Saccharomyces cerevisiae S288C: one gene and its partners. The protein of the gene in region 1 interacts with the protein of each later gene in a biochemical or structural test. Each region holds a gene or a part of one and is shown in the gene's direction. Other genes may lie near its edges.

What was found. Proteins that work in one complex are often made in the same cells at the same time.
Region 2: the proteins of ARF3 (region 1) and LSB5 form a complex in vitro, tested with the Saccharomyces cerevisiae proteins (one study listed by BioGRID).
Region 3: of the proteins of ARF3 (region 1) and YEL1, one has a biochemical effect on the other in vitro, tested with the Saccharomyces cerevisiae proteins (one study listed by BioGRID).

The regions. Positions count from the first base shown.
Region 1 is NC_001147.6:501,122-503,995, forward strand, and holds ARF3 (Arf family GTPase ARF3), read left to right. Parts: upstream 1-1,673; coding exon 1,674-2,225; downstream 2,226-2,874. Other genes in the region: CMR2 (Cmr2p), read right to left, coding at 1-1,331; ribose-5-phosphate isomerase RKI1, read right to left, coding at 2,431-2,874. UniProt on the Saccharomyces cerevisiae protein: GTP-binding protein involved in protein trafficking; may modulate vesicle budding and uncoating within the Golgi apparatus.
Region 2 is NC_001135.5:60,155-63,222, forward strand, and holds LSB5 (Lsb5p), read left to right. Parts: upstream 1-1,503; coding exon 1,504-2,568; downstream 2,569-3,068. Other genes in the region: GFD2 (Gfd2p), read left to right, coding at 1-572; dithiol glutaredoxin GRX1, read right to left, coding at 687-1,019; MXR2 (peptide-methionine (R)-S-oxide reductase), read right to left, coding at 2,622-3,068. UniProt on the Saccharomyces cerevisiae protein: Essential for the organization of the actin cytoskeleton, fluid phase endocytosis and vesicle trafficking, together with YSC84.
Region 3 is NC_001134.8:106,115-110,495, forward strand, and holds YEL1 (Arf family guanine nucleotide exchange factor YEL1), read left to right. Parts: upstream 1-1,817; coding exon 1,818-3,881; downstream 3,882-4,381. Other genes in the region: SKT5 (Skt5p), read right to left, coding at 1-1,292; CMC2 (Cmc2p), read right to left, coding at 4,011-4,306. UniProt on the Saccharomyces cerevisiae protein: Guanine-nucleotide exchange factor for ARF3 required for localization of ARF3 to the bud neck and tip and involved in actin patch polarization.

The DNA.
Region 1 (2,874 bases):
GCTCTAAATTTATCAATGATATTTTCATAGCCCCCAGGTCGTTGTAATATACTACTATCGATAGATATCATAAGATTACCAGTAAAAAGATTGAAAAGCACACCCATTATCAAACCAGTAGATCTAGTAGGGTCCAGACTATTCAAGATAACAAACCTTGAGTTGGTTGCCATAATTTTTTTGTGAAATGGCTTCCTGATGCTTTGTGATTTTTGTTTCCAGTGAGGCATTGATCGTGAGTTTAGAATTTTTGTCATCGTTTCAAATTGGTTTATTAAGATGTTATGCTTCATGACGACGCCAGAAAGACGACCTAGCGGTGTTCTAGTAAACTCTATATATGAAATATTCGGTATATCAAAGGTAGGCGAAGTTTTTTTTGCCTTTGTGTACGTCCCTAAGTCATCAGTCTTGACAAATTTGATTTGCTGGAAAACATCGTTCTTAACCAGTTTAACTTTTGAATGATTTGATGACGAATACAAGTTATCTAATTGTCTATGACATGCGTTAGAAATCAGAACAAATTTCGAATTTGTTACTTTAATTATCTCAAGGATCTCACGCAGAGAATACGTTTCGAATGAGACTGGTACAGCTGCCATGCCGGATATGAAACAGCCTAATAATGCAATAGTAAATTCGATGACATCATTTTTATTGTACCATAGTAAAATCTTATCCATTTTGTAAAGGTGACTCTTATTCAATTCATGTGCTACCCTCTCCGCTTTCAAATAAAGTTTATCCCATGTGATGAACGTTTCTTTGCCTTTAGAATTTATGCTGATCATCGCTGTTTGACCATCATAATGTTCAAAGCGTCCCCGTAAAATTAGCGGTAAAGAATCCGTCATTGCTGAGTCTCCACTGCTAGTATTTTCGGCTCCAGTGTGTCTTGGTAGTAATGGTATCATAGGATTATAAACGGCATCCTTCACTGAACCGTTTTCATCACTGGAACCTGGCAATGACGATTGCAAAGAAGCTGTATATCTCTTGCTCCGCCTTCTGGGAGTATTGTTCGCAGAAGTCGAGTTTATAGTTGTGACACGATAGATAGAATGACGTCTGTCAATTGAATTAGGTAACGACGTAATGGATGATGCAAGACTTGTATTTCTTCTGTGCAAATGTTTCGACTTTCTCGAATTGGGAGATCGAAGCGGGGTATAAGGCCTCATTTGGGAGATTTCAAATTTGTCTAGCAATTGTTTTCTTTTGGTCTCATAACCCTTTCTTGTTAGATTTTCATCCTTATAGTCTTGAATTAACTCATTTAACCGACTTTGCAGATCTAGAGGTAAGGTAGGAGGAATAGAAAAATCCATTGGAGTAACTCAATGCCACACGCTTTTACACAGAACTGAATCACCCTAACACCAAGTTTACGGAAGCAAATGTTAAATCTGTTGAAGCTCTTTTGACTACATTATAAACAGAAATAAAACATACTAGAAAGTAATCGGGTTTTGACGATTTCATCCATTACCCGTCCGAATGATGGCACTTATAAGATAATGAAGATGTACGCAGCATTAAAACCCTATTTGCAGAAGCATAGTAAGACGCAACGTACGCTGAATTAGACTGAGACATTACAGTTGCTTTGACATTGGGAAGATAATTGGGATTTAGAACGGAAAAAAGGAAAAGACAAGCTAATTGTAGAGATGGGCAATTCAATTTCGAAGGTTCTGGGAAAACTATTTGGCTCGAAAGAAATGAAAATTTTGATGCTAGGCCTGGATAAGGCTGGTAAGACAACAATATTGTACAAACTAAAATTAAATAAAATAAAGACGTCTACTCCCACTGTCGGTTTTAACGTGGAAACCGTTACTTATAAAAACGTAAAATTCAACATGTGGGATGTAGGAGGACAACAAAGATTGAGACCTCTCTGGAGACATTATTTTCCAGCCACCACCGCACTTATCTTTGTGATAGATTCTAGTGCTAGAAACCGTATGGAAGAGGCCAAAGAAGAGTTATATAGTATCATAGGTGAGAAAGAGATGGAGAATGTAGTACTGCTGGTATGGGCAAACAAACAAGATTTGAAAGATGCAATGAAACCTCAAGAGGTTTCCGATTTTTTAGAACTGGAGAAAAATTTGAAAAACCAACCTTGGTGTGTCATCGGTAGTAACGCCTTATCCGGACAGGGTCTTGTTGAAGGATTATCCTGGATTTCGAACAACACAAACGTTCCAAAGAAATAAACATTGCATTTATTGGTGTTGAATCTGCATACACCGATTGTTCATCCTTCATTTTTACTGGATTGTACTTTACTAAAAAGAAAACTTCTGGAAAAAAAACAGTATCCAAATAACTAAATAGCTTTAATAATACAATATAAAAAATGGAGACACTGTTGTGAAAAGTCAACCTTTACTACGGTTTCTGTCTTTGCCTTTGATCTGCTCACTTTTCGGTAACTTCAACACTACCGTCAGAATTACCGAAGTAGGCTTTTGAAGCGTTGTCGATGAATAAACCTGTTTCCACCACGCCCACTAACAGTTTGATTTCTCTATGCAATTTTCTTGGATCGGAAATTTCACCGAAATCCGCATCGATAATGAAGTTATTATTGTCAGTTACAACAGGACCTGCTTTAGCAGAACCTCCTTGTCTGATGTCAACTTTTTCAGCATGCAATTGTTCTAATAGATCATTCTTGACCCTCACGTATGAGGAAGGTACAATTTCAATGGGAACACCTTGCCTCCAGTTCTTACCTAAATGTTTTGGTGACTTTTTTCTTGAATCAGCAACGACAATGAAGGTTTTAGCACTAGTACTAACCAATTTTTCTTGAAATAGACAAGCACCACCACCTTTAATTAATTGTAAATTCTCATCCAC
Region 2 (3,068 bases), on another chromosome or scaffold:
AGACATGGTCAAGGGCATTTGTTGGTCATCACGTGAGCGGGGATCTTAAGTGGCTGGAGACTATTGGTGTCAAATTCCCTGGCAGAGGGTATGAAGGCCATCTGGACCATACGCTGCTTTTGGCTGAAACTCCCGGTGATCTAGACGTGTTCATCTTGGACACTGAGCAGTTTTACAGGAAATCGTATGGCGAAAAGGGCAGCAGTCTGGGCAAGATTCTGCGGTTGTTCGAGATACCGCATGCGTTTCTACACAATGCCGGTAACGATGCCTACTATACCCTGCATTTGTTCATGAAGTTTTGCGATGTTAATTTCAGGAAAATAAGCGGCATGGACGATGTTCTTAAAGTAATGGGCCAAGTAAAAGTTTGGGGAGAACGAGACGTACGAGAGCCTAAAGTGGTGCCCATGTCGTATGCCATCTCCATCGAGGAGGCAGTCAAAAATCGGACGTACCGCAAGGGCGTCAAGAGCAGTAGGAAGGAAAGAGTCTGCCAAACGGAATTCGGTGGGTTAACGTATTTCGGAACTGCTAAAGACGCCTTCACAAGCACTCTTCCGACACACTAAATATATTCATCGATTTTTTTCCTGTAAATACAAACACATGCTTGTATACATATACATATACATATATATAAGCTCATTATAAACCTGTGTGCATGGAAAAAACTTTGTCTGCCCTTAATTTGCAAGAATAGGTTCTAACAATTCCTCCAATTCACCAGTCTCCCTCAATTCCTGCAAGTCGTCGTTGCCTCCAATATGTTTACCATTAATATAGATGTTTGGCACGGTTCTTTGGCCATTAATCTCATATAACGCAGCCTGAATGTCTGCGCCTTCCTTCATGTCATTCAATTGCAAAACCAGAACTTTGGACCTGGGAACCTTTAACTTTTCAAAAAGCGTGTTTAGGGCTGCATGGCAGTATGGACAGTACGTTTTGGATGCGACGAAGATCTCGTTTTCTGCAATAAGGTCCTTGACGTGCTTGATAGTTTCTTGAGATACCATTTTTTTTCCTTCTGAGGTTTTGTCTATTTGTATAATTATGCGAATGCTCGTATAAGTACTGCACGAAGTTCTTTATTTTATGCTAAAGTCCCTTTTTATATTATATAAACTTTTCATTTATTTTATATATTTACTCCTTTCAAGACAAAATTCCCACATCACGTGAATCAGGAGGCGCAAGGGGGGTAGTAAGGCAGTAGTAGATAAAGAAAACAAGCATCGCAATCTGGAAACGCCGTTGCGGCTGCTCGTTATCTGTAGACAGCTCACTTGTGCATGAAGTTCATGTTTTATAGATGATGGAGCCATACTTCAAGGTGATAACTATGAAACTGTTTTGACCTTGACGTGTAAAGTGATCAAGGTAATAGTTAAACTTTATATATGTTGTTTATCAATGTGGTATCCTTTCTAAGGATGAAGACAACACGATTGTGACAGTGTGAGAGAGTGATAAAGCATTGGAGGCAGGCAAAACAAGAACATGGGGTTTCTTTCGGATCATCCGCATACAGCTATCACCGAGACGATCTTTCGAATTGTCTCTTCAAGGGACTATACGCTAGAAGTGGAGTTAGCTCCCTTGATTCAGCTTATCAAAGCAGATCACAACGATTATAACTATACCGTGAACCAAGAAGAAGCTGCGCGAGCACTTAGAAAGAAAATAAAGTATGGGAACCGGCTGCAGCAGTCCAGGACTCTGGACCTCTTGGATCTGTTCATCTCACAAGGCGTGAAGTTTACAGTCATGTACAATGATGACAAGCTGCTGCAAAGGCTGAGAGGGATGGCTACGAACTCTGAAAACAGCGGGTCCGGTGAAAAGTATGAGCCTAGGATTATTAAGAAGTGCGCGGCGTATGCTATCTCGTGGCTAAACTATATTACGCAGAACAACCTTGAGAATGCGAGGGCGTATTCAGGTCTTTATCAATTGGGTCAAACAGTCAAACAGAGGTACTCGAAGAGCAGCCGTTCCCGCCGTAGCGGCGGAGGCTCTGGCGGACGGTCTAACTTCATGGATGATAGCGCCGACGACACTTTGTACCAGTCCAACTCGCTGACTAGTGCCGATAGATTGTATAGGATTCCACAGATCAACATGAACAAAGAGGCACCCAGGATTCGGCTCATAATCAGCGATGCTCTCGCGTCTGCTGTGTCGTTACAGAACTCGCTGATCGGGCTGCCCAAGGGCAAGTTCTCCACAGACGATGAAGAGGCCACGTCCAAGTTCATCCAGGCAAGGGCGATCAGAAGGAAAGTTCTTAGATATCTGCAATTGGTCACGGAGGGTGAGTTTCTGGGTAGCTTAATTCATGCCAATGATGAACTGGTGGCTGCGTTGACTGCATACGACGACCGAAGCGCTCAGGACGATAGCAGCGATGAAAGTGATCACGGCTCGTACGATGACGGTATTTATGATGAAAACGAGCAGGATAACAGCAGGTATATTGATAGCGAGTCCTCAGAGGAAGAGAGCTTGTCTTCTTATCAGCCGTCCACGATCTCAAACCCTTTCGGTGATCATAACAAAATTTGAAGAAGTATGTACGTATGCATACACACATATATATATATATATATATAGTACATTTAATCCTTCTTGAGGTTTAAAGACGCACTGTTCACACAGTGTCTGGTGTCCTTGGGCAAGTTTAGCAACTGTTTCCAGCCTTCACCTTCAAACACATGTCCCAAGTGTCCACCACACCTTGCACAACATATCTCCACCCTCGCAGGCATTAAAGAATTGTCACGATGATATGTGATGGCTCCAGGGGATACCTCTTCGTAGAATGCGGGCCATCCACAACGAGCGTCGAACTTGGCCTTGCTCGAATACAACGGTCTGTCGCAGTTGGCACAATGGTAGACACCGGACTCGTTGGTGTGTAAATACGCACCGGTGTTGGGCCTTTCAGTGGCCTTATCTCTCAGCACCATCAGCTGCAATGGTGTCAGGGCATCGTTCCACTTCACGTCATTCGATTCGTCACTCATTTTCTTGCTCTTATTCCAGTACTGCGTCAGTACAATGTT
Region 3 (4,381 bases), on another chromosome or scaffold:
GCCAACAAAGTTGCTGAAGGAACATGCCCTAAACTTGCTGCTTGAATATATAGTTCCATTGCATACTTTTCATCCGGAATGACAACATCTAAGAACCCTTCATGATAAATCTTAGCCAATTCGTATGGTGCTGCGGCCGTCAACTCATTAGCTCTTGCTGCAGCCCTTGATAACCATTTTACCCCATTTAATTTAGTATTAACGTCGGTTGGAAGACCCATTCTGCCGTAGAATGAATAAAGTCCCAATTTATACATTGCTGAGGGATGATTCCTGCTAGCCGCAAACTTTAAAAAATTGACTGACTTACGAGAATCTCTTGTTGTTCCTAGTCCTTCTTCTAAGCAATGCGATGCTCTGTAAGCACTTTCTATATGACCATGCTTTGCAGCTGCTTGAAATAAGACAAATGCTTCTTTATTTTCAATCTTCCCAAATGCTCCGGATGAGTAGCCGTCCGCTAATAAGTATTGGGCATCTGAATAACCCTTTATGCTCAGTTTCTTCAAATAACTTTGCGCTTCTTTCAAAAACTGAAGTTTTAAGTCAGATTGGCTGACATTTCCTTCCTTGTCACTATCTTGAACAAGAGCATTGGAAGATTCAATAGTCAGTGCGGTTTGTAACATATATTGCGCATACTGGAATAACACTTCAGGATCTTTAGATTTTTTAACGTTTTGTCTATACATTTCTATTGTTTTTAGCCTTGGAACTAAGGAAGTATTATTTTTACCACCCAAATATCGACTGATCATCTGATGTGACAAATCTGCTACAGATTCATTAGTAGCCGTTAATTGGGTATCACTGCTACCATTCAACAGGTACATGTGAGACAAATCTACAGAACGAGTTCTTTTCTTTATTTGCTCCTTCGTAAGAGATGTACTCGAATTTGTCTGTCTTAATGCTCCCGGTGACGGAGAATTTGTAGGAGTACTTCCCAAAGAACTTAAGGAAGTATTATTTGAATTATTAAGATGAAGCTGTGGGGGTGGGACTGGAACGAAATCTTCCTCTTGACTATTGCCTATATCGTTTGATAGTAGAGGTACTGACGCAGCTCTAAGATGCTCATTGATAAGCGGTTGGTTTGCCGACCGCTTAGGAAGGTCTGCGGTACTGAAGTCTTCATTGTCCCTGTTTTCCCTATTCTCTTTATTATCTGAAAAATCTTGACCTACCTTCAACGAACTGTTTTGAAACTGTAGGCCCCTGTTATCAAAATTTATATGCTGTGATTGCATTAAATGCTTCTTATATGGATGTACCTGCGGTGAACTTGCCATTTTTTATCCTTTTATTTTAACTTTATCACCAAAAAAGACGAGAACCTGGTAGTATACAATGGAAGGCTTATTAACAGCAAGTCTAAAGTCAAGTGCCAACACCTAGTTTGTCTCTACTCTTAAATCTTACATCATCCTCGAGAGGGTCTGCAGAAAGAATTTTTCGTTCTTTTTTTAGCAAGTCAAAACGCGAAGTGAAACGTGGGAAAATATAACGATGACCTTTCTTAAAACATGCATGAAGACTCGTGAAAGTCATATGTACATATGTCGTATAGATTTGCAGATAGTTGCAACAAATAATTAGCGATTAGTTATGGCCTATACATGGCAGCTAAGTGCGATGGCATGTTCAAATGTATTATATTAAATCAAATGAACTTAAAATGCGATGTTTGGGTGCAAAATATCTATAGATGATAGAGACGGTTCATTGATCTTACGGATCAACTTTGAGATCAGTAAGGCTGACTAGATGGTACAATTTTGTGCAGTCAATGGACTATTAAGGGATCGCAAAGAGGTATGTGCGCCAGTTTAAACGAGGTAAAAAAGAATGACACCTATGGGGTCTCACAAAAGGGCTACAATGACAATTTCAGTGAAAGTGAGGGCGTCCTTCATGGTAGTAAGTCGATGCCCACTAGCATGAAAAATATGCTACAGTCTCCCACGATGGTCAACATGTGTGATATTTTACAAAACAAGGAAGCTGCTAATGACGAAAAACCTGTGATACCTACTACGGATACCGCCACTGCGGGGACTGGTACTGAAGATATTAGCTCCACTCAATCCGAGGAAACTGATCAGAATAGTCATCTTATTGCCTCAGAGATCTTGGAAGGCACTTTCAAAGATGTATCTTACAAGGAATATGCAAATTTCTTGGGAAACGATAACAATAATCAAGTCTTGACTGAGTTTGTAAAGTTATTGAGTCCTTTGCCGTCGTCACTATTAGAAACGCTTTTCAATTTATCGAAAAGTATATATTTCATTGCAGAAGCGCAAAATATCGACCGGATACTAGAGTGCTTGAGCATAGAATGGATAGCTTGCCACCCGAACACACATTGGAAGTCAGGCTATAAGTCATGTCATATAGTCTTATTTTCCCTGTTGATCCTTAATTCGGATTTGCACAACAACTTTCAAGTTGACCATAAAAAGATTAAGTTTTCCATGGTTGCATTTATCAACAATACACTGAGGGCACTAAGAGAGGAAAATGAATACGAAGAATTGAAAATATACTCCCGCGAACATTTGATCATCGAAGAACTTTCCGAATACTATAAAACGTTAAATGAAACGCCTTTACCGTTATGCACAGAATCTAGAACATCAATAAATATATCAGATAACCAATCTTCCTTGAAAAGGTTCTCTACTCTAGGATCACGGGAATTTAGTACATCAAATTTACGTAGTGTTAACTCTAATTCTACTACACTATATTCAAGAGATGGTCAAGTATCTGTACGAGAAATGAGCGCAAAATCAAATAAAAACTTTCACAATAATCACCCCATGGATGCACTCTACCTTAAAGAGTCTTTTGATGACGGTTTAATTACCGAAAACGGCTCCAGTTGGTTCATGGACGATTTAATTCTTATAAGCAAGAAATCTTTACCACGTAAATATTCTAAAAGAGACAAAGATCAAGTGGCGGCACCAAAAATGACCTCTAAGAGAAACAAATCGTTCTTCGGATGGCTAAAACCATCTAAAACGACTACACTTATTGAGCACACATCTAGAAGGACTTCTTTATCGTATTTGAATAAGGATTCTGAATGGGAGAGGGTGAAAATACAGGTCAAGGAGGGCAGAATTTTTATTTTCAAAATTAAACCAGATGTTAAGGATATCATCCAATCAAGTGAAACAGACAGTGCTACCATCGACTATTTCAAAGATATCAGTAGCTCTTATTTTGCTTACTCACTGCTTGAAGCTGAAGCACATGTCGTGCAAGATAATATAATTATAGGTAGTGGAGCAATGAAATCAAATGTGTGTAACAAAAACACCAAGAGGAAAAGTGGCAACTTTACCGTTAGTTTTCCAGAGAATATCAACGGACCAAAGCTTGTTCTGGAGTTCCAGACGAGAAGTGTTGAAGAAGCCCACAAGTTTATGGACTGTATCAACTTCTGGGCAGGTAGGATTTCTCCAGTTCCTTTAACACAATTCGAAGCCGTATCTAACGCAGAATATGGATGGAGTGACAAGATCTTGACAGAGCACGCTTCCCTCAATCTTAAAAATATTGTTGTAAGTGAATGGAAGCCACTATTGGGGCTAGAGCTACTATACGAAGATGCGAAAGATGTAGAGATGGTCGAACTAAAAGAAAGGCTAAAGGAATTGATGAACTTCACCAGACAGCTTGGTATATGGATAGATAAACATAACGAAATAAAGGATAAGCTGGTCGAAATTTGGAGCTTTGACGATAACTATTTTGAAGCAGTCATGAATAATTGGAATTCGAGATATTTGTATATGAATAATCAATATAAGAAACGACTGAGCTACTTGAAAGCTTTGCAAAAAGCCATGGGTTCTGTTCAGTTCTAAGTATATTTAAAGATATAAATATAAAGACTGCGCTGAAGAAATATAAACTTGAAAACTGTACTCTGCCTTTTATTTACAAGGGATATTGAGATGATTTGTGTGAATGAAGTAGCGACAGAAAAAAAGCTTTTATTTCGAGTTCGCATCATTGTCACTTTCCTGCTTTTTCTTGGCGTACTGTCTATCTAAGATAGTCTTTAATATAGCGTCCTCGCCATATTCTTCTTCCTCAATTTTCTTCCATCTCTTTTCTACATCAGCTCTCTTTATTCTACTTTCAATGACAGCACGTTTCTTGTTATTCAAACTTGCCTCCTTGAGACACTTGTTCAAAGCATCCTTTTCGTTGTTACAAAGGCCAAATATTCTCTTGTAATATTCCTTTTGATGGCATTTATCGAGTGCATTGATGAAGTCCAAACAGGCTAAAATGAAGAAGGGGAGAATACAATGTTAGTAAGTCGGAGCACAGAAAAAGGCAAATATATGAAGTAAAATCT